Arabidopsis thaliana: one gene and its partners. The protein of the gene in region 1 interacts with the protein of each later gene in a pairwise test. Each region holds a gene or a part of one and is shown in the gene's direction. Other genes may lie near its edges.

Evidence for each region.
Region 2: the proteins of AT4G31340 (region 1) and GB2 interact in a protein complementation assay, tested with the Arabidopsis thaliana proteins (one large-scale study listed by BioGRID).
Region 3: the proteins of AT4G31340 (region 1) and ARFA1D interact in a protein complementation assay, tested with the Arabidopsis thaliana proteins (one large-scale study listed by BioGRID).
Region 4: the proteins of AT4G31340 (region 1) and PRA1.E interact in a protein complementation assay, tested with the Arabidopsis thaliana proteins (one large-scale study listed by BioGRID).

Annotation. Positions count from the first base shown.
Region 1 is NC_003075.7:15,203,737-15,210,118, forward strand, and holds AT4G31340 (myosin heavy chain-like protein), read left to right. Parts: upstream 1-1,700; 5' UTR 1,701-1,925; coding exon 1,926-2,085; intron 2,086-2,468; coding exon 2,469-2,596; intron 2,597-2,716; coding exon 2,717-2,788; intron 2,789-2,881; coding exon 2,882-2,995; intron 2,996-3,459; coding exon 3,460-3,528; intron 3,529-3,595; coding exon 3,596-3,652; intron 3,653-3,789; coding exon 3,790-3,843; intron 3,844-3,928; coding exon 3,929-3,991; intron 3,992-4,087; coding exon 4,088-4,150; intron 4,151-4,284; coding exon 4,285-4,440; intron 4,441-4,542; coding exon 4,543-4,698; intron 4,699-4,816; coding exon 4,817-4,897; intron 4,898-4,991; coding exon 4,992-5,053; coding exon of another isoform or gene 5,054-5,057; intron 5,058-5,135; coding exon 5,136-5,214; 3' UTR 5,215-5,247; intron 5,248-5,509; 3' UTR 5,510-5,868; downstream 5,869-6,382.
Region 2 is NC_003075.7:16,986,297-16,990,993, reverse strand, and holds GB2 (GTP-binding 2), read left to right. Parts: upstream 1-1,946; 5' UTR 1,947-2,154; coding exon 2,155-2,200; exon of another isoform or gene 2,201-2,314; coding exon 2,315-2,454; intron 2,455-2,863; coding exon 2,864-2,946; intron 2,947-3,308; coding exon 3,309-3,513; intron 3,514-3,606; coding exon 3,607-3,675; intron 3,676-3,783; coding exon 3,784-3,876; 3' UTR 3,877-4,154; downstream 4,155-4,697. Other genes in the region: AT4G35870 (early-responsive to dehydration stress protein (ERD4)), read right to left, coding at 1-662; AT4G35850 (Pentatricopeptide repeat (PPR) superfamily protein), read right to left, coding at 4,313-4,411, 4,500-4,601. UniProt on the Arabidopsis thaliana protein: Intracellular vesicle trafficking and protein transport.
Region 3 is NC_003070.9:26,563,168-26,567,671, reverse strand, and holds ARFA1D (Ras-related small GTP-binding family protein), read left to right. Parts: upstream 1-1,860; 5' UTR 1,861-1,986; exon of another isoform or gene 1,987-2,510; 5' UTR 2,511-2,519; coding exon 2,520-2,667; intron 2,668-2,761; coding exon 2,762-2,832; intron 2,833-2,912; coding exon 2,913-3,032; intron 3,033-3,119; coding exon 3,120-3,238; intron 3,239-3,315; coding exon 3,316-3,397; intron 3,398-3,504; coding exon 3,505-3,510; 3' UTR 3,511-3,954; downstream 3,955-4,504. Other genes in the region: AT1G70500 (Pectin lyase-like superfamily protein), read left to right, coding at 1-128, 227-308, 385-493, 576-692, 776-1,093; AT1G70480 (OBP32pep, putative (DUF220)), read right to left, coding at 4,064-4,483. UniProt on the Arabidopsis thaliana protein: GTP-binding protein involved in protein trafficking; may modulate vesicle budding and uncoating within the Golgi apparatus.
Region 4 is NC_003070.9:2,806,946-2,810,310, forward strand, and holds PRA1.E (prenylated RAB acceptor 1.E), read left to right. Parts: upstream 1-1,814; 5' UTR 1,815-1,987; coding exon 1,988-2,617; 3' UTR 2,618-2,830; downstream 2,831-3,365. Other genes in the region: AT1G08760 (GPI-anchored adhesin-like protein, putative (DUF936)), read left to right, coding at 1-112, 366-457, 597-1,464; AIP3 (ABI3-interacting protein 3), read right to left, coding at 2,980-3,240. UniProt on the Arabidopsis thaliana protein: May be involved in both secretory and endocytic intracellular trafficking in the endosomal/prevacuolar compartments.

The DNA of each region.
Region 1 (6,382 bases):
TAGAACTCGTTTAGAGATGACAATTCAGATTATGATGTTAGCTAATTATATCCGAATCTAGTTCTGAAGCCCATGTTCGCCTAGATTAAAATTGTATCATTGTATGTTAACTAACTCTATTTTTCATATATATATTTTCAATTTTGGTTTAGATTAGGTAAACAAAAAGCTATTTCATGCTACAAACAAATACAATTTTAGTGATGAAAATTTTCGTAGTTAAAACTTTAGTTTCGTACGTAGCTAAATAGCTAAACGACAGTTGCTAAATAACTTACTCGTGACTATCCGTTGATACACAAATTTCATGGATAATAGCTACTGACCATTTAACAACGAGATAGCCAGAGATATATCATAGAGATAGCCAATTAAACTGTTGGCAAAAGTACCATGGGCTGTCCTTAAGTGGGCCTAAATCTAATAAAATTATAAACTGTGGCCTGTTAGGCATGTGATATTTTTCTCTTTTTCTTCAAGCCTTTTTATAAAAATAAATGTCAAGAGATGATGAAGGCATTTGCACTTTTGAAGAATTGAAGTAGGAGCTCAAAGCGAAGGATTACGATGATAGACATCTCTGTAATGATTTAACAAAACTCAAATACAACATCAAGTTTGGAAGATCACTGGACTGTTTTGTGTTTGATCATTTACTCACCTGTAATTCTTTTTTACTAATATATAACTTATAAGAAATCATAAACTATAATCTTTTTTTTTTTTGGGTTTAATGAGACTTTTTTCTGTCCTTTTTTTGAACACCTGTGAATCATAGACTATAATCGAACTTCATCCCCTTTTTTTTTTTTTTGGGAAACTTAGAGAAGAACAAAACATTTGTGAGGCTGATGATTTGATGAGACCGCAACGTTGGAGAACTTTGGAGTATATTAATAATATACATTTTCAATATTATCAGTATATGCATTTTCAACTAGGCCTTGCTTTATACACCGGAGATTATAATTAATGAAAAGATGAATTACGTTAATGTCATTGCTTCTGGTTTGAGTTGGCAAACTCCACGTACCACGTACATATAATTATTATTGAGTAGTTGCTAATTAATTATACTTTTGTCTTGTTAAAACTAGTATTATAAATTGGTTAATGCCATAAAGCAAACGATAGACCAGACACATCTCTGATAATCCAGCGGTACTTATTTGTCATGATTCTGTGATCCAATCAATTAATCGTATAGATTTAGCTATCGCGAATCGTGATTCCAACCTTTACATAAATTCTTTTTAAATTAGGGCAAATTGTGTTGGATCAAGCATAGTAATAACATAATACGTACTTATAAAATTGTTAACGTGCCGGTGTTGTTTGGAGAGAAAAACAAAGATTCTTAGCTCTCAGGCAATTAAAAAAACGAGTATCGAAAAATTCAGAATAGAAGTTGCTTAGTTAACGAGAAATTAAATGGTGCATCGAATATCTAATGGTTTAATCTGGATATAGTAAAATTAGTACTCCACGATTAGTTAGCAGGCAAGTAGATGAATGTCATTAATTTGATGATCTGATTGAATTGCTTTCGAAAAAGGACAATAATAATAATATCGACTGGTTAATTGGTTGTCATATTTTACCCAAAAAGGATCAACCATTGGATTTACGCCACGTCATTAATGTGAAAATACAAAAGTGGATCCGATGGATGCCGCGTGTCATCGTCGGTCACGACATACCCACGAAGCCATTTACCTCACGTTTAGTACCATCTATCTCTCTCTCTCTCGTCTTGGCACGCTGTTTCTTTTTTTCCTACTGGTTAAGAAATTTCTACGGTCCATGGTCAAAAACACACCTTCATAAATATACAGAGAGATCGTGAGAGAGCAGAGAGGAAACGTTTCTCTTGTTCGTTGGAATCTCCGTCCCTTTTTGTTGATCGACGGTGGTGAATCTTAGACATGGCGGCTGCGAAGCTCGTCGCTTTGTTACTTCTTGCCTTGCTTTTCACCACCAGCGTCTTCGCCGATGCTGATGAGCCGGAGGTTTCTGAGGCTGCCGGATCCGATGGCTCTTCCAAGATCCACCTGGATCAGCTTAATGCCAAGATCCGTGCCCTAGGTTAGTTACCGACTTGCATTGTTCAGACTCTTCCATCTGATCGAATGATTGCGAAGTTTTGATTTTTATTCGACTTTGATTCGTATTTGAAATCGGAATCTGCAGAGTTCGCATGTTATTGGTCTGACGCTGATAGAATTACCGTTTCAGCTACTTGATGTGTTTCTCTGTTCTTATAGCATTGACTTAAATTAGTAGCTTTTGGATCGATTTCAGATATGAATCGTATTAACTTGTTCCCAATGTCGAATTGCTTGCTATGGTTTTGTGGAATTTGTGAAATGCCTAATCCGTTCTGATTCGAGCTTGTTATAGCTTGATTATTTGGTGAATGCAAATTTTGGGGTTTGAGCTTTATGTTTTGTTTTTGTTTTGTTTTGAAGAATCTCAAATCGATGAGAAAACCCGGGAAGTTCAGGGCAAAGACGAGGTAGTAGCAGAGAAGGAGAAACTACTCAAAGAAAGGGAAGACAAGATTGCTTCCTTGCAGACTGAAGTCTCATCACTACAGGTATGGATCTTATATGGTTTCAGTTTCATCTACTTTTTTTTGGAACTTGTGATAAAAAATTTCTAATCTTTTTGACATGTTTGGCTTAAATCTGATCTGTGTGTTTTCACTCATCTCCAGAAAAAGGGATCATCAGATTCTGCAAAACAGTTGGGAAAGGCTCAAGCACGAGCTGATGAATTAGAGAAGCAGGTGAAATTTTTAAGTTCAAAAACTCAATCTATTTATATGGTTAGAATTTGCAAACGGTTATCTGATTTTTGCGATCCTACTACTGTCGTTTAGGTTGAGGTTCTCAAGAACTTCTTGGAGCAAAAAAACAAGGAGAAAGATTCCACTGAAGCTCGGACTAATGAAGCTGAGAAAAAACTAAGGGAACTTAACTCGAGCCTTGACAAAGTATATTTGTTTACATCCCTCGTTTCATTTTTTGCATTACACCATTTCATTTGTTTTTTCTCTAAGGGACATGGTAAATGCTTAGTTACGTTTTTTTTTATCTCAGCTTTAGCTAGACTTTGTTTAAGGTTGAGGTCAAAATATCTTCATGTTCTAAGCCTCGTCATTTATGCTATGTTATTAGCATTGCAATTTCCGTTCTCAGCTATATTAGTTCTCATTAGGACAGCTCCTTGGATGATTTGATACTCGTGTTTGATCTTAATTCGATCTTGAGTTGTATGAGAATTATATAGAACAGAGTTTCGTTATGCAGTCTTATTATACCATCAGAACTTTCCCTCCTTCTTACTATACCATCGACCATGCTTTTATGGTCCCTTTTATGGATATGTACTTTTGGTTGAACCAATTCTTATAGTAATGTCCTGAGACATTTAATTATAGTATCTGATGTCTTGCAGCTTCAGAAGACAAATGAAGAGCAGAAGAACAAAATAGGAAAACTTGAACGTGCTATTAAGATAGCTGAGGTACAGTAACCTCTTATTAAAGTAGATTTGCCTCACATATAGTTTTTTTCTAAATTTTAAATTTCAGGAAGAAATGTTGAGGACAAAGCTCGAAGCAACCACAAAGGCGAAGGAACTGCTAGAGGTATTAGTTTGACACAGTTTTACATTTGGCTTTCTCTGATGCTATTATAGCATTAGATTTTCATTGTGTGGGAAATTAGCGGAGCCTGGAATCTGGAAGTCGGCAGAAAGCTAATGTCAATTGTTTTATTTACTCAGGCTCATGGTTCGTGGCTTCCCCCTTGGCTTGCTGTTCACTGGTTTAAATTTCAGGTAAGGTTTATGCTGGCCTTTTTACAGTTTTACAACATAGTAGTTATCCCCCCCAATTAACATAGGGAATTTCATGTACCTATAGACTTATACCGAGACACATTGGGAGGCCCATGGGAAACCTGCTGTGGAGACAGTAATTCTAAAGGTACTGTTTAACTTTTGTCCTATACTCCTATTGAGATTTATGCCTCTAAACAGTATGAGAGCATCTGGCTAATGAAGTTTACTTATTATTGAGTAGGTGACGGAAGCAAAAGCTCAAGCTGAAAAGTGGGCTGAACCACATGTCGAAAACGTTAAAACTGTAAGCATCTTATTGGCAATTTTTTTTGTAGTAAATTTCTTTGACATTAATGGAATGCCTGCATTTTTGGTGAATCACAAATCTCTAGAGTTATAATTGGCTCATATTACTATGTCTTATGACACTACTTGCAGAAATATATTCCAGCCATCAAGGAAACCGTTACTATACATGTTGAGCCACACTTCCGAACACTATCCATCAAAGCTAAAGAGGCTTACCATTCATCAAAGAGTGCTGTTTCCCCTCACATTGTCACGGTTCAAGAATTTGTAGACCCCTATTATCAGGTATAGTGTCTTTTTCAGTTTATTTTTTCACTGATAGGTTTGGTACACAATTAATCAACTAGTATTTACGGATGTAAACTTTATGCCTGTTACAATTTCCAGGAGGCCAAAAAGTTCAGCAAGCCATATGTCGACCAAGTGGCCACGACCACGAAACCACATGTTGATAAAATGAAGGTTGCCATGAAACCTTACACAACCAAGGTGATCATCGTCTATACAGAGTTCCTTGAATCCGCCACAACTTATCACAATCAGGTCTGAAACCAAAATCCTGCTAATGTATACTAAAAATAAATCTGAGTTATTCCACTTCTCGGACTCATCAAAAAGTATGCTCGACTTGTAAAGCTAAAATCTGTGTTTGTCTGTGAAGGTCCAAGCCCATGTTGAACGAAAACTGAAAAGCCATGAGCTGACGGAGCCTTTTGCTACCAATGAGTTTGTTTGGTTTGCGGTATTTTGCCTTACTTTCTTCTAGAACGTATTCTGAGAATGCATCCTTTATTTGTTTCCTCTCTAACTTCAAATCTAAAATCTATGCACTGCAGGCCTCTGCATTGTTGGTATTTCCCATCTTCGTTGCTTACAGAGTGCTCTCTTCTCTCTTCTGGCAAGTCTTTTAAGTAATCCATTTAGTCATTTTATGTAATATTCTTAATCATAAAAATATCTCATATTATTGTTTATCGCAGCACAAAGACAAAGAAACCTGTTAAACACCCTCATCACCATGGTCGTCGTAAGGCCAAAAGGGCTCACACTGACAAGTGATATTCATTGTTCCACGCTCTCAAAATAGTCGAGGTACACTCTCACGTTTAACTTTTGCTTGACATTAGCCACACTAAGGAACATCTCCTCTCTTAAAAGCATTGTAGTTACGAGTTTTCTAGCTTCCAGCCTCAGAGGAAATCATGTAGTCTAGTTAGTGTGAAAATAAACAAATATGTAGTGTTAGTAACAGAACCATACTCAGATTATGGAATGTGGTTTTGAGTATCTGATGCCACATAACATTAGGTGCTTCATTGTCGTTTCTTAATCTGTTGCTTCTTAATCGCTCCAGGTCACGAGGTTAAAACGCCATTGTTGTTGGACTGTTCTAAAGTCAGCTAGCTCACCGGACAGGTTGCTTGTTGAATGAAGGGAAAGTCTCGAGTTGGTGTCTGATGGGTTTTTAGAGGCTCGTTGTGCACAAGTGTTGACTTCTTTCCTTTATTATTTTGTATTGTTTTGGACAATTTATTTCAGCATTTTTACACAGAAGATTAGACATTACTAGAGAAATTCTAGCAAAAGCTTGGTTGTATTTTAGTGTATTTTTCTATTTTACGTGGATATATATTGCGATATCTTTAATTTCATTCGAACTCTTTCTTTTGCAACTTATCTTTATGCTTAATTCATAATTTCTTATAATTCCATCAAACTCTAGAATTATTCTTTATTTTCCTCAAATTACTTTCTTACAAAATGAACTCTTGGTCTCTTTAAAAATTCACCAGAAAGTTTTAGCTAACCTTGAAAAACACAAAACGTGGAAGAGATAATTAAGAGAGATATTGGTACTAACAATTCATCTTAACTAGATACAGTAGTCGAGAGGCCAACAACAAGTCTTGGGACTCGATTTGAGTCAAGAAAGAAGCATGTATCTATCTTAAAGGCACTTTAACGTTTCTACTTCCACTTGATTTTCTTGTTTATAAACATCGCCACTTCCACTTCCTCTAACACCCCAAAGTCACAGCAACTTGGTGCAAAAATAAAATGGCGAACCCCAACGAGCAAGAAAAGGCAATGAGAACGAAGGTTAAATGGAAAAGATTCACTGAGATGGAAGTAGATATGATTATGCCAGATCCATCTCCAAACGGTAACATCTATCACTCCGCCTTTGAGATGAATGCCGCAAGAAATGGTTTAACTGTCCCACCAA
Region 2 (4,697 bases), 1.8 Mb from region 1:
ACTCTATCAGACCCTAAATTCTTAGGCAAACCCTGCACCATTATAGTAAACACAGCAGTAGAATTCGCGTTCGGGTCACTGATATTCCCATTCCCATCTCTAAACCTAGTAAACTTCAACCTAGCTTCAATAGCAGCGATTCCAAAATGCGAGATAACAACAACAATAACAACAAACACAAAATGCAGCCAAAGCAAAGCTGAACCTTTCTGAATATGCGTAATCATCGTTTTCGAAAGCTCATCACTCAACAAAGCAGTCCCAGCATATAAATTCAACGGAAGCATAACCGAAACAGCTAAAACAGCAATGGAGAAAAGAAGCACAAAGCTTCCACCTTCAATTAAAAGAAACTGAGCAGCATCAGCACCACAGTGACGAGCGATCTCGCGACACGTGGCTTTCCAAACGGCGAGGAGCTTAGAGAAGAGAGCAGAAGGACCAGGCATACGACGGTGGTCGCTGCGTAGCTTAACGAAGAGAAAGATGGAGACGCAGCATAAGAGACCAATGACCGAGATATTAAGCAGATACTGAATGTTGCCGTACCAAGCATCTGGGATTTCAGGTAAGTCGCCGGAAGATGGAGGAGGAGAGAATGAATTATCTATTGTCATTGATGAAATCGGTGGCATCGCAGCTGGTGAAAAATTGCGATTCATCGCGAATTTCTCAACCAAATTGAGAAACCCAAATCTTCGAAGTTTCTTCAGAGATTCAGGATTTATACAACAAGGTTTTGATCAGGAGAAATTTGGGGGCTTTAGGGTTAGACTTTGGGGGAAGTAGATCGACGAAGATGATGGCAAAAGTAGAAAGGTAAATAGAAAAGGAGGAACAAGGAATGCTATCGCGGTTTCGAATCTCTCAAAAGATTCTTCTCCTTAAATCATGAAATTTAATCCCATCTTTTTAAGATAAATACACCCAAAAAAAACGAATTAACACAACTAAAAAATATAAATAATTTGATAGAAGTATATCAAATTGGTAATTTACAGAGTTTTTATGAATAAAACGATAGTTCTTTAAACGATAATTACATATTCTCTAAATATTTCGTGATTAGTAGAATAAGAGAATATAATCAAATTCATAACTCTTGTATATTCATTTTAATCAAATTCTCCTTAAAGCATGAAATTAATCAAATAATTTGAAGGTAAAATACCCAAAAAAATACGAAATAACATAACTAAGATCGGTTTGAGTTTGGGATGAAATAACATCCCCTGTTCTCTAATGGATGGAACTCTGTTTCGAATTTGCTTCTCGAATTTGCCATTGTAGACTATAAGCATTTGTAAGGAACTCATCTCTAATGTAGGATTTGAGTTCTTCTTATCTTCCCACTAGAACATTCATCTTAAACACAGTTATGTAATTTCCATAAGAGATATGAAACAGAGCATACTACCGTGATAATCCGGACACAATTGATATTAGTAGCCTTGTATCAAGGTACGTGTGTATTCCCCATCATATAATAAAAGAAGCTTTTGCTAATGCAAATTTCTGGTAAGTTCACAGTTTTGATGTGCAAGTTCTTTTGTATCATCAATTTAGCGATTATGGACTGCGCCATGCTTCAGATGAATAGAAAAAAGAAACTTATGCTGGTCTCGAAATCCACTAACCAAGCCATTCAACATCAAAGAAAAAAGCCCACATTATAAAAAAATAAAAAAGCCCACTTTAAACTATCAAATGCCCAACAATGGATGATGCACTAGTCGAGTCAGAGTGGACGGAGCCAAAGGCAGAGATGGATTTTAAGCTTTAATTTGTTTCCCAGATATTTTTCATCTGGTCCCTCTGTTTTTAAATAATTAACTAAAACGACTATAATAATTAATAAATTATACTATAGAGTATTTTGTGTGGATTTTTATTTACTGTTGAAACTTAAGGATACAAAAGAAAAACAATTATTCAGATAATTCGTCATTAGATCCCTTTAATTTTAGTAATTAAGTAAAAAGATTATAAAAGATGAGAAGGAGAAGATAGCTTCTTCATCGAGAAACCTCGAAATCAAAAAGCACGTCGGTGACTTGTACTCTTCAATCTCTTCTTCCTCTCTTTCACATCTCCTTCTCTCGAACCCATCGACCTGCGCTAATTCATCATCGACCTTGCTCAAATTCATCAACCATGTCTTACGATTATCTCTTCAAGTACATAATCATCGGAGACACAGGTGAGAGACCGATCTTTCACCTTTCTTAATTCCCAATTGTTTTATTTTTCTGGGTTAAATCCATTTCGTGCCGATTTTCATGTGTTTTCGTTGTTGTTTTTTTTGTCGTTTCAGGTGTGGGAAAATCGTGTCTGCTTCTGCAATTTACTGATAAGAGGTTCCAACCAGTCCACGATCTCACCATTGGTGTTGAGTTCGGTGCTCGGATGGTCACCGTCGATGGACGCCCCATCAAACTCCAAATTTGGGACACCGTACGCTTCCTCTCTCTTCTCTTGGTCGTAATTAGGTCATCAGGGAACTAATCACGTTTTATCGATTAGGATTGTTTTTTTTTTCTCCCTAAGGCAGGATGTGATTAAGAAGATTAATTGTCATAATCAATTCAATTTCTTCGTTTTTATATAAACAATGCCTCATTAGAATTGCCAATACCAAAAATTATGTTTGAAAATCATGTCCAGAGACTCAAAGTGGGGTAAAATTTCAAAAAAGTTAATCATTGCACGGTTCTTGATTAAGTTTCATAGGCTTATTGTAATAGAAGCTGAGTTCACCAGTGCATTCCTTGTTGTGATTTCTTCTGGTCAATAGTTCTTCCATTAGATGATGTATGTGTTGGAGTTGTGCTTTCTGATTAAAGTTTCGTATGATATTTTTTAGGCTGGACAAGAATCTTTTAGATCCATCACCAGATCATACTACAGAGGAGCAGCCGGAGCTTTACTGGTTTATGACATCACCAGGTTAGTTTTTGCCTTGCGACAATATATATCAGCTCGAACTTCTGAATTCCCCAGCAAGGTTTTGGAAGTGATTGGTTCTGTATTTGTGATTTGATAAACCTAGACTGTTGGAAAGGTTTTGGAAATTGGGAAGTTACTTTTATCTGAACAAAATCCTTGGCTATAATATTGGCAATGCTTGTTTGGGAGGATGTTAAGTTAACCATCCATCTTAAATTCTTGCTAAAATAGATATTTTTCCTCCATTGTTTTGGAATTTTGAAAGTTATGAAGGACATGAAGAATTGCAAGAGTTTTATCATTGAGGTTTTTCATGCTTTGATCTTTCTGAAGCTCAAAATTCTTGGTTCTTTGGGTTGCAGGAGAGAGACGTTTAACCATCTGGCAAGCTGGTTGGAGGATGCTCGGCAACATGCAAATCCTAACATGAGTATTATGCTGATTGGGAACAAATGTGATCTTGCTCACAAGAGAGCTGTTAGCAAAGAGGAAGGTCAACAGTTTGCCAAAGAACATGGCCTGCTATTCTTAGAAGCATCTGCAAGAACTGCTCAAAACGTTGAGGAGGTGACATTTCTTCCTTGCAACTCTTTTTCCCCATCCTGTTATTTGGCTGTAATCACATGGAGACTTTTGTCTTCTTTTTCTGGATTCCAACAGGCCTTCATAGAGACTGCTGCCAAGATCCTCCAGAACATTCAGGATGGTGTCTTTGATGTATCCAACGAGGTAATTTCCTTGTTGAATCTGGCAATATACTTAGTCTTCTGGTGTTCTCTAATCCCTCGATTGTGTTACAATGTGATTCAATTCCCTTGGTCTCTCTAAATTTTGCAGTCATCAGGTATCAAGATTGGTTACGGGCGTACTCAAGGTGCAGCTGGAGGAAGAGATGGTACGATCTCTCAGGGAGGTGGCTGTTGTGGTTAAAAAATCCTCGAGAGAGGTGTCACATATCTGCTGTAATCTGGTGATTCAGAAACTACTATTGCTTCTATTTACCTCTGCAAATGGATACACCAGAATGTATAGTTTCTCTTTCTTTCTTTCTTTTTTTCTCTTTTTCCCAGATTGTCTTTTATCAAAAAACCAAACGGGTGCATTTAAGAGTGAACAGGCTGATCTTTATAAACCAAACAGGCGTTGGCTTATTTAAAACGTTGTCGCTTTGTATGAAGCTCTCAAGGTTAAGTAATTGAAATCAAATCAGAATAATATCCAGTCATCATCTAGGTGAAATTTCCTTATTCATCTAAACGAACTGGTTTTAAAATACCCAGATGGTTCACAGAGATCCCAATAAGCAAATAGAAGTAGAAAACGAAGAAGCCATGATACCATCTTTCTTCCTCTTGGTCCCTTTGCTTTAACGCCTATTAGGTAATGTCCCTTCCCTAAGCCGCAAGTTATTGTATGTTCGCGTCACTAACATCAGTCTCGGATCATCCTCTGGTATTTCGCGTTCCTATGATTACCACACCACAAAAACCATCAATAACTAATACCAAGAGAAAGAAAGTTTGTGGTCAAATAAGAAAAAGGTTTTTTATTACTTTCAAGCCCTTGTAGTAAGCTTCAACAGCAGCTAGTGTTGGTAGAATATTCCGAGCTAGCATCAGATCCCATATCATATTTGCAACTGTGTACCCTCCCGTCTGCCATAAAGAAAATGTTTTTTTTTTTTTAACTTTCACTAAGCCAACTCTTTATATCAGTAAGATATTTCCAAAGTTTTTAGGGGAAGTTCAAGA
Region 3 (4,504 bases), on another chromosome or scaffold:
ACAACGGTCAACTACAGTTCGAATCTCTAGAGTTATGGTCACATCTCCAGGAGACAGTCCCAACACTGATGGAATTCATATAACCGCATCTACCGATGTTGTAGTCCAAGACAGTAAAATCAGCACAGGTTCTTCACCAAAAACTTCTATTTAACTCAAAACACTATCATGGTAATTATAATATTAAACTCAAAATGTTATAGCTGACACTTCAACTTGAAAACAGGAGATGATTGTGTCTCGATTGTGAATGGAAGCGCCAAGATAAAGATGAAGAGGATCTACTGTGGACCAGGACATGGAATCAGGTAAACCATCTCTAACCATAAAAAGAAATGAGACACATATATTATTATTGATTGCAAATAATTTCTTGTTCTGTAGTATTGGAAGTCTTGGACAAGGACATTCGAAAGGAACCGTCACTGCAGTTGTGTTGGAAACTGCGTTCTTAAAGAACACAACTAATGGTCTAAGAATCAAGACATGGCAGGTAAAATCTCAATTCTATTGATCTTTGCTTTCCTTCCAAAGAGTTTTCAGGATTGATTGAAAGATGAAACTCTTTAAAACAGGGTGGTAATGGTTACGTAAAGGGTGTACGTTTCGAGAACGTAGTGATGCAGGACGTTGCGAATCCGATTATAATCGATCAATTCTACTGTGATTCACCATCAACTTGTCAAAACCAGGTTTTAATTCTTTCACATAACCATTGACTTATCAACAAACCTCAAGAAAGAAACTTAATCTTTTGATTCCTATTTCTTTGCAGACATCGGCGGTTCACATATCCGAGATAATGTACAGGAACATAACCGGAACCACGAAAAGCTCAAAAGCCATCAACTTCAAGTGTAGTGACGCAGTCCCTTGCAGCCACATTGTCCTCAACAATATCAACTTGGAAGGCAATGATGGAAAAGTAGAAGCATATTGTAACTCTGCTGAAGGGTTTGGTTATGGTGTAGTTCATCCTTCTGCGGATTGTCTGTATTCGCATGACGACAAGAGCTTAAACCAAACTGATCAGTATTTGGCAGAAACTATTATGGTCGAAAAAGAAACTGAAAATGCTCATGATGAGCTTTAAGGTGATCACATATTTTGACGGTCGTTGTAGTGAGGAATGTGCACGTTATATTTAGTTGTAATTCATCTTTAGCAACTGACCTTATATATATAGCTTGTTAATGAAGCATATACAATGAGATTGAAAAGCATTGTAGTGTTTATAAATTGATTATAATTAAGGTAAAGATTAATATTTTTGTATAAAAAATGAATGCTTATTTGGTAGTTTGTAGCATTTGCTCATCTCTCTATGTTTTGTTATGATCGTTAAGGGTTGGCAGCAAAACCAGACCCAAATGTTTAAATTTTTAAGCTAATACTAAACCGGAATTGTCTCTCAATTGATTAATTTTATCATTTTGAAAATAAATCTTTTAAATGATTTTGTGGCTAACGTTTCCCAAAGTTAACCAAACCAGACAAACAAAATTTCATTAAAAATATCATTAATAGATGTAGATATGTAATCATATTATATATATTAAAATTATTTTAATAATTATAAAATTTATCAAAATTGATTGAAATGACGATTTCTTATTGGTCAGACAACATCAACAAATAACGAAATTTTCACTGGAGATGAAGTAGCACTTAAGAAAAGAGTATTGCTCACGTGTTAAGTTTTAATTGGTTAGCTCGCGAACACCTGCACACTTGGTCATAGAAGATTCGAAGAGGGTAATTCCGTCAATTACAAATGGCAATTTCGTTAATTGGCGTGAGAAACGACGAATAAACCGGTACCCCTCTCCCTTATAAAATTGCTCTCCACCACTTCCCATTTCGGCGTCATCGCGTTTCTCTTAAGCTTCTCTCACATTTCTCTTTCAAATTTCTTCGAGTCTCTCTCGCTCTCTCCGTTTCTTCGCGGTCTCTCTCTCTCAGATCTCTCCGAAACATTCTTCGTAGGTACGCTTTGATCTAAGATCTGTGCTCATACATTCTCAATTTAGCGTAGATCTGTATGTGTTCTGCATTTCTCGTTTCTTGTGAATTTTGATGGTTTTGGAATCGTCGTGATTGATTTCGTTGAGGTTGATCTTGCTCATGAATGGATAATGCGATTTTATTTTTAAGATGTGTATATATGTCGACGTTTCTGATTACGATCTGATAGTGTGGATCTGTTGAATTTTCTATTCACTTTCGTTTTCCGTCGTTGTGATTGTATCTGATAGCTTCTGAGATGTTGAAGATCTGTATCAGAGAGATTATGATATCTCGGGACGTTTGATTCTCTGTTTGGATCGGCCTGATCTCGTTGAAATTTGATGTTTGTGAGTGACGATTTTGGTATTGATCAGGTTCTTAGAGGATATAAGAATTGAATTTGGCATTATAGATGCATAATTTAGGATTTCTGAGATGAAAATCGCGTGATATAGAATGTGTATGAGGTTTTTGATATTAGACTTTGTTGTGTTTGTTTGCAGTGAAGCAAAATGGGGTTGAGTTTCGCCAAGCTGTTTAGCAGGCTTTTTGCCAAGAAGGAGATGCGAATTCTGATGGTTGGTCTTGATGCTGCTGGTAAGACCACAATCTTGTACAAGCTCAAGCTCGGAGAGATTGTCACCACCATCCCTACTATTGGTAAAGAAGCTTCACACCTTAGTACTGGTTTTTAAATTGTGATGATGGTATAAAATCTAGGATCGATTAGTGATATGCTAAATTCTATCAACAGGTTTCAATGTGGAAACTGTGGAATACAAGAACATTAGTTTCACCGTGTGGGATGTCGGGGGTCAGGACAAGGTATGGAGTCTCTGTACTGCTTATTGTTTGATGAAGGAACTTTTCACCCAAATAAACTGACTTTTTGGCTTCTTTTTCAGATCCGTCCCTTGTGGAGACACTACTTCCAGAACACTCAAGGTCTAATCTTTGTTGTTGATAGCAATGACAGAGACAGAGTTGTTGAGGCTCGAGATGAACTCCACAGGATGCTGAATGAGGTAAATATCCAGTGCTATAGAGAAAGAGTTCTTCTTCATAGTTTTGTTAGTTTGAAAATCCTTTACTTACCAACTCTTTTATTGCAGGACGAGCTGCGTGATGCTGTGTTGCTTGTGTTTGCCAACAAGCAAGATCTTCCAAATGCTATGAACGCTGCTGAAATCACAGATAAGCTTGGCCTTCACTCCCTCCGTCAGCGTCATTGGTAAATAAACATCCTTATAAGTTTCAAAAGTCAAACAATTTCTGTTCGATACTGATGTGTGTTTTTGCTCGCTACAGGTATATCCAGAGCACATGTGCCACTTCAGGTGAAGGGCTTTATGAAGGTCTGGACTGGCTCTCCAACAACATCGCTGGCAAGGTAACATAACTACATAAGTTTCTTCAAAAACACACAAATCTAACGAGCTGGTTTCTTTTTATTCTGCGATGCTTATATCTTTACCTCGTGTTGCTCTTCTTGCACAGGCATGATGAGGGAGAAATTGCGTTGCATCGAGATGATTCTGTCTGCTGTGTTGGGATCTCTCTCTGTCTTGATGCAAGAGAGATTATAAATATTATCTGAACCTTTTTGCTTTTTTGGGTATGTGAATGTTTCTTATTGTGCAAGTAGATGGTCTTGTACCTAAAAATTTACTAGAAGAACCCTTTTAAATAGCTTTCGTGTATTGTGCCTGGATTAATATGATTGATTGTTTTGCTTTCTTGTTTTTGCGTATCCTATTTTCACGTCTGCATCGTTTTCATCACAGAAATATCTTTCTTTCTTTACCAAAATAAATGAATTAGAAATTTTGTATATTTGAAAATTCATATCACTATTGGTCATTGAGTCATGGTTGTAATGGTCATGAGTCATTGAGTCATGGTTGTAAACTTCTTCAACAAGGAATAGATTCCCACATTTATATGCCAGTGTATCTTATGAAAACAAATATTATATTATGTTCACATATTGCTGGGTGATCCAAAAATCCTCAAGATATCTATTATCCCAGAATCATGGACTGTGTGAGTCTGTGACTTAACACAAATCATTGCGTCGTCTCCTTGATGTTCTTCTATGTGCAGACCATCTTTCTTTTATATCTCCAGGTGTGCCAATCCGTTGCTCATCGGGCGAGTGACCATCCTCCATTACTCCAGCTGCACGGATCCTGGCGGTCTCAGCCAACAAGTCATGGATAAGCATCTCTGTCGTCTTAGCCGTGATTCCTCTGAGATACCAAGAAATGGGCGGAGGTGGAACAATCGCTGGCTGTATTAGCTGGTCCAGCGTTACCTTAGATCCGATCCTCCCTTTACCTCCAGTGCACCTGTTATACTCCTCCAGCGTTTTCGGTTTCAAACGATCGCACATATGTTCATCCACAAACAAAGGCTTTACTTGCCAGCTTCCTTCGAATCTCTTCATGAATCCACTTTTCACTTGCTTGAATTTCATCTGCAACACCCATTTAAATCC
Region 4 (3,365 bases), on another chromosome or scaffold:
AGAGAATGGATTGCCTGGGAATTTGGTCAAAGTCTCTGTTAATGGTAAAAGATTAGCGGCGGCCAATATCCAATGGAGTTCACTCCCTCCATCTCTTTCGAGGATGGGACAGGTATGGCCTTGACTGCTCTTGGATCCTTATATGTGCTTGCTTCATTAATAGGCTTTGAAGCATTTCTAGTGATTAAGAAAATTCATCTTCAAAACAAGCAGTTTAGAAATTCGATCATCCAAACTAACATATTTACTCTGGTGATTGAAGAGAACCTCTTAGTATAGCATATGCATCTTATGTTTTGGTCTTTGACATCGTGATTAAATATTAAGACAGCTTATTGAGTCATTGCTGCTATCAATATTTGCAGGAAGTATTGAGGCATAGAGAAGCTGCTCAAGTAGTCGCAATAGAGGCCCTGCAAGAAGCCTCTGCTTCCGAGAGCTTACTTCAGTGCCTCATGTGCGTAATATCTTAACCAAGTTTTATTCAGGCCGGCTTTGGATGTTTGAGGGACAAAACATAAATGTTTTTTGTATCTGAATGTTATTGTTACTGCCTTGGTGGTTTCTGAACTTTGTTCTGCTTTTCCTTTTTGTAGTATGTACTCCGATCTTTTGTCAACGGCGAAGGAAGATGATCCATTGCCAGTCGTTGAGCAGTTCTTGAAGCTCCATTCCGGTTTGAAAAACGTCCAAGTAATAACAGAGTCATTGTCCAAATTACTCTCTTTGATGTCCTCCCCAGATAATGAAGAAAACAGATCCGAGGAAGCTATAAAAGCGGCATCGGAAAAGCAGAAATTGGCAGCCTCATGGGTCCAAGCTGCGTTAGTCACTAACTTATCGCCCTTCTCTGTCTACTCCAGCAAACAAGCCAAACTTGCTGCCTCCAGGAGCAAACCCGTGATCATACTCGAGAGCCCGGGTAATAATTCCTCTAGTAAAACCCGTGGGAATATTCAAAACAAGCCAACGATTGGATCTAAACTCGTAGCACAAGGAATGATCCGTAAACACAGGGAGAACAGTAGCAGCCAGAAAGCCACCTCGGTAGCAGGGTCAGAGTCTCCACCGTTAAACTGGGTGAAAGGGAATGGTCTAAACGAGGCAACTGATCTGGCAGAGAAGTTGCAAATGGTTTCACAAGATTGGTTTTTGGGTTTCGTAGAGAGATTCTTAGACGCTGACGTGATTACATCATCCAGTCTCAGTCTGTCTGATAATGGGCAGATTGCGGGGATGCTGTCTCAGCTGAAGAGTGTGAATGATTGGTTAGACGAGATTGGATCGAAAGAGGATGAAGAAGGGTTACAAGAAGTCTCTAAGGAAACAATCGATCGATTACGGAAGAAGATCTACGAGTATCTGCTCACACATGTGGAGTCAGCAGCTGCAGCACTTGGTGGTGGTGGTGGCTCAGTCTCTTCTCCTAGACCTAAACCAATCGAAACCAAAGCAAAGAGATAAATGATGATGAAGAAGCTTCTACTTGTTTTTTTTTTTTCTTGTATATATGAAAATTGGCGGTCAATTTCTTCTGTATAATTCAGGCATCACTAAGAAGCCTACCGACGTGAAATGTTGGTATTTTTTATTCAGTCAGATACTCACTAAAGAGAACCTATTGGTTCGAAAGATTTCAACATATTTTTTATCCATTAATAACGATATCTCTTCTCTAGCGATTAAAGATTAGAAGATCAGCAAAAACAAAAATATCATTAGAAGACTTAGATCCATCACAATTCTGTAATTTTACAAAAACTATGACGATTCATGATTATGTGGAAATAGAGGCGATCGGTAAAAGTTGATTTGTTTATGGTTTATTTGTAATAATAAAAAAACTACAAGGTCCCAAAAGAAAATAATAATCACCGAACAAGTCCCTCCCATCATCCCATATTCCACATGGACTCTTTGAAATCCAAGGTTTTGCCATTTGACCACAGATTTGTGTTATTTTCAAACACAAAATCAACCAATTCCGATGAATCAGAAACCTCCGCCGTACGGTTATGGCGGCGCTGGTGGTGGAGGAGTCGGTCCTTCTTCCACTTCCAACACCACAATCATCGGGACGTTGAGTGCACGCGCCAAGCAGACGACGCAATCGATGATCACGACGCTCCGTCCATGGCGAGAGATTCTCGATCTGTCCGCGCTCTCTCTCCCTCGCGGGTATGATGAAGCCATGGCGCATCTAAAGCACAACATCTCTTATTTCCGTGGAAATTACGCTCTCGCCGTTCTCGCCATTGTTTTCCTCGGCCTTATTTACCATCCGATGTCTATGATCGCTTTCATCGTCGTCTTCATCGGATGGATTCTTCTCTATTTCTCTCGAGACGCAAACGATTCGATTGTGATTTCGGGGAAAGAAGTAGATGACAAGATCGTGCTGGTTTTACTCAGCTTGGTAACGGTTTTGGCATTGGTATATACAGATGTGGGCGAAAACGTTCTGGTTTCGCTGATCATTGGTTTGCTCATCGTCGGAGCTCACGGCGCTTTTCGTAATACCGATGATTTGTTTCTTGATGAAGAAAGTGCTCGCCGTGGTGGCCTGGTGTCTGCCGGTTCTGGTAACCGGCCACCGTCGAGTTATACCCCAATTTGAGTAAACCGGTTTGGAGAATTACTCGTAATTTCTTGGGTTTTTGATTGAAGAAGCTAAGGGAATCAATTTAGGGCTTTGTATTTTGGATTTCCCAAAGATTCTTGTATTTATATTTTGGCGTGTGTGTTTCATTTTGTTTGAATGTATACAAATTCTGGGAAAAAACAAATTGGTGTTATGGTATTTTATAGAATTGCCAAAAACATAATTTCCGATAGAAAAAGAAAAGTATGCATTAACCAGATGAAATTTCATAATGAACAAAACCAGTATGTTAAATTCAAGAATCCTTTGGTCTACACTCACAGTAGAATCATAAACTGATGCAATAGAAGAAAAACAAAGTTGGGAATAACTACTAACTAGTCTTCTTCAAGATTGATAGAATCTTTGAACTTAGCATACAATACCTTCTTCAGCGCTGCCATTTGTGTTACAATTGATTCCTTCTCTTGCTCGAGTTTCTCAAGGCTTTTGCAGGTCGCTTCTTTCATCTCTTCTATCTTTGTTTCTACGTCGTCCCTCGGCACATGAGCAAACACTTCTCCTATTTGAAAACGCACCATCTCCTCATCAGCAAGGATCAACTCGTTCCCTGCATCCTCTAGATTTTCACACTTTTCCTGCATAAATCAATTGTTTTTTAATCAAGCTAGATGCAGAAACACACAGTAGAATGCTGTTTTAATCCCCCTAATGAAACGATTGAACAAGACAAGTATCCACTTATTATTGCAAAGTCCCACAT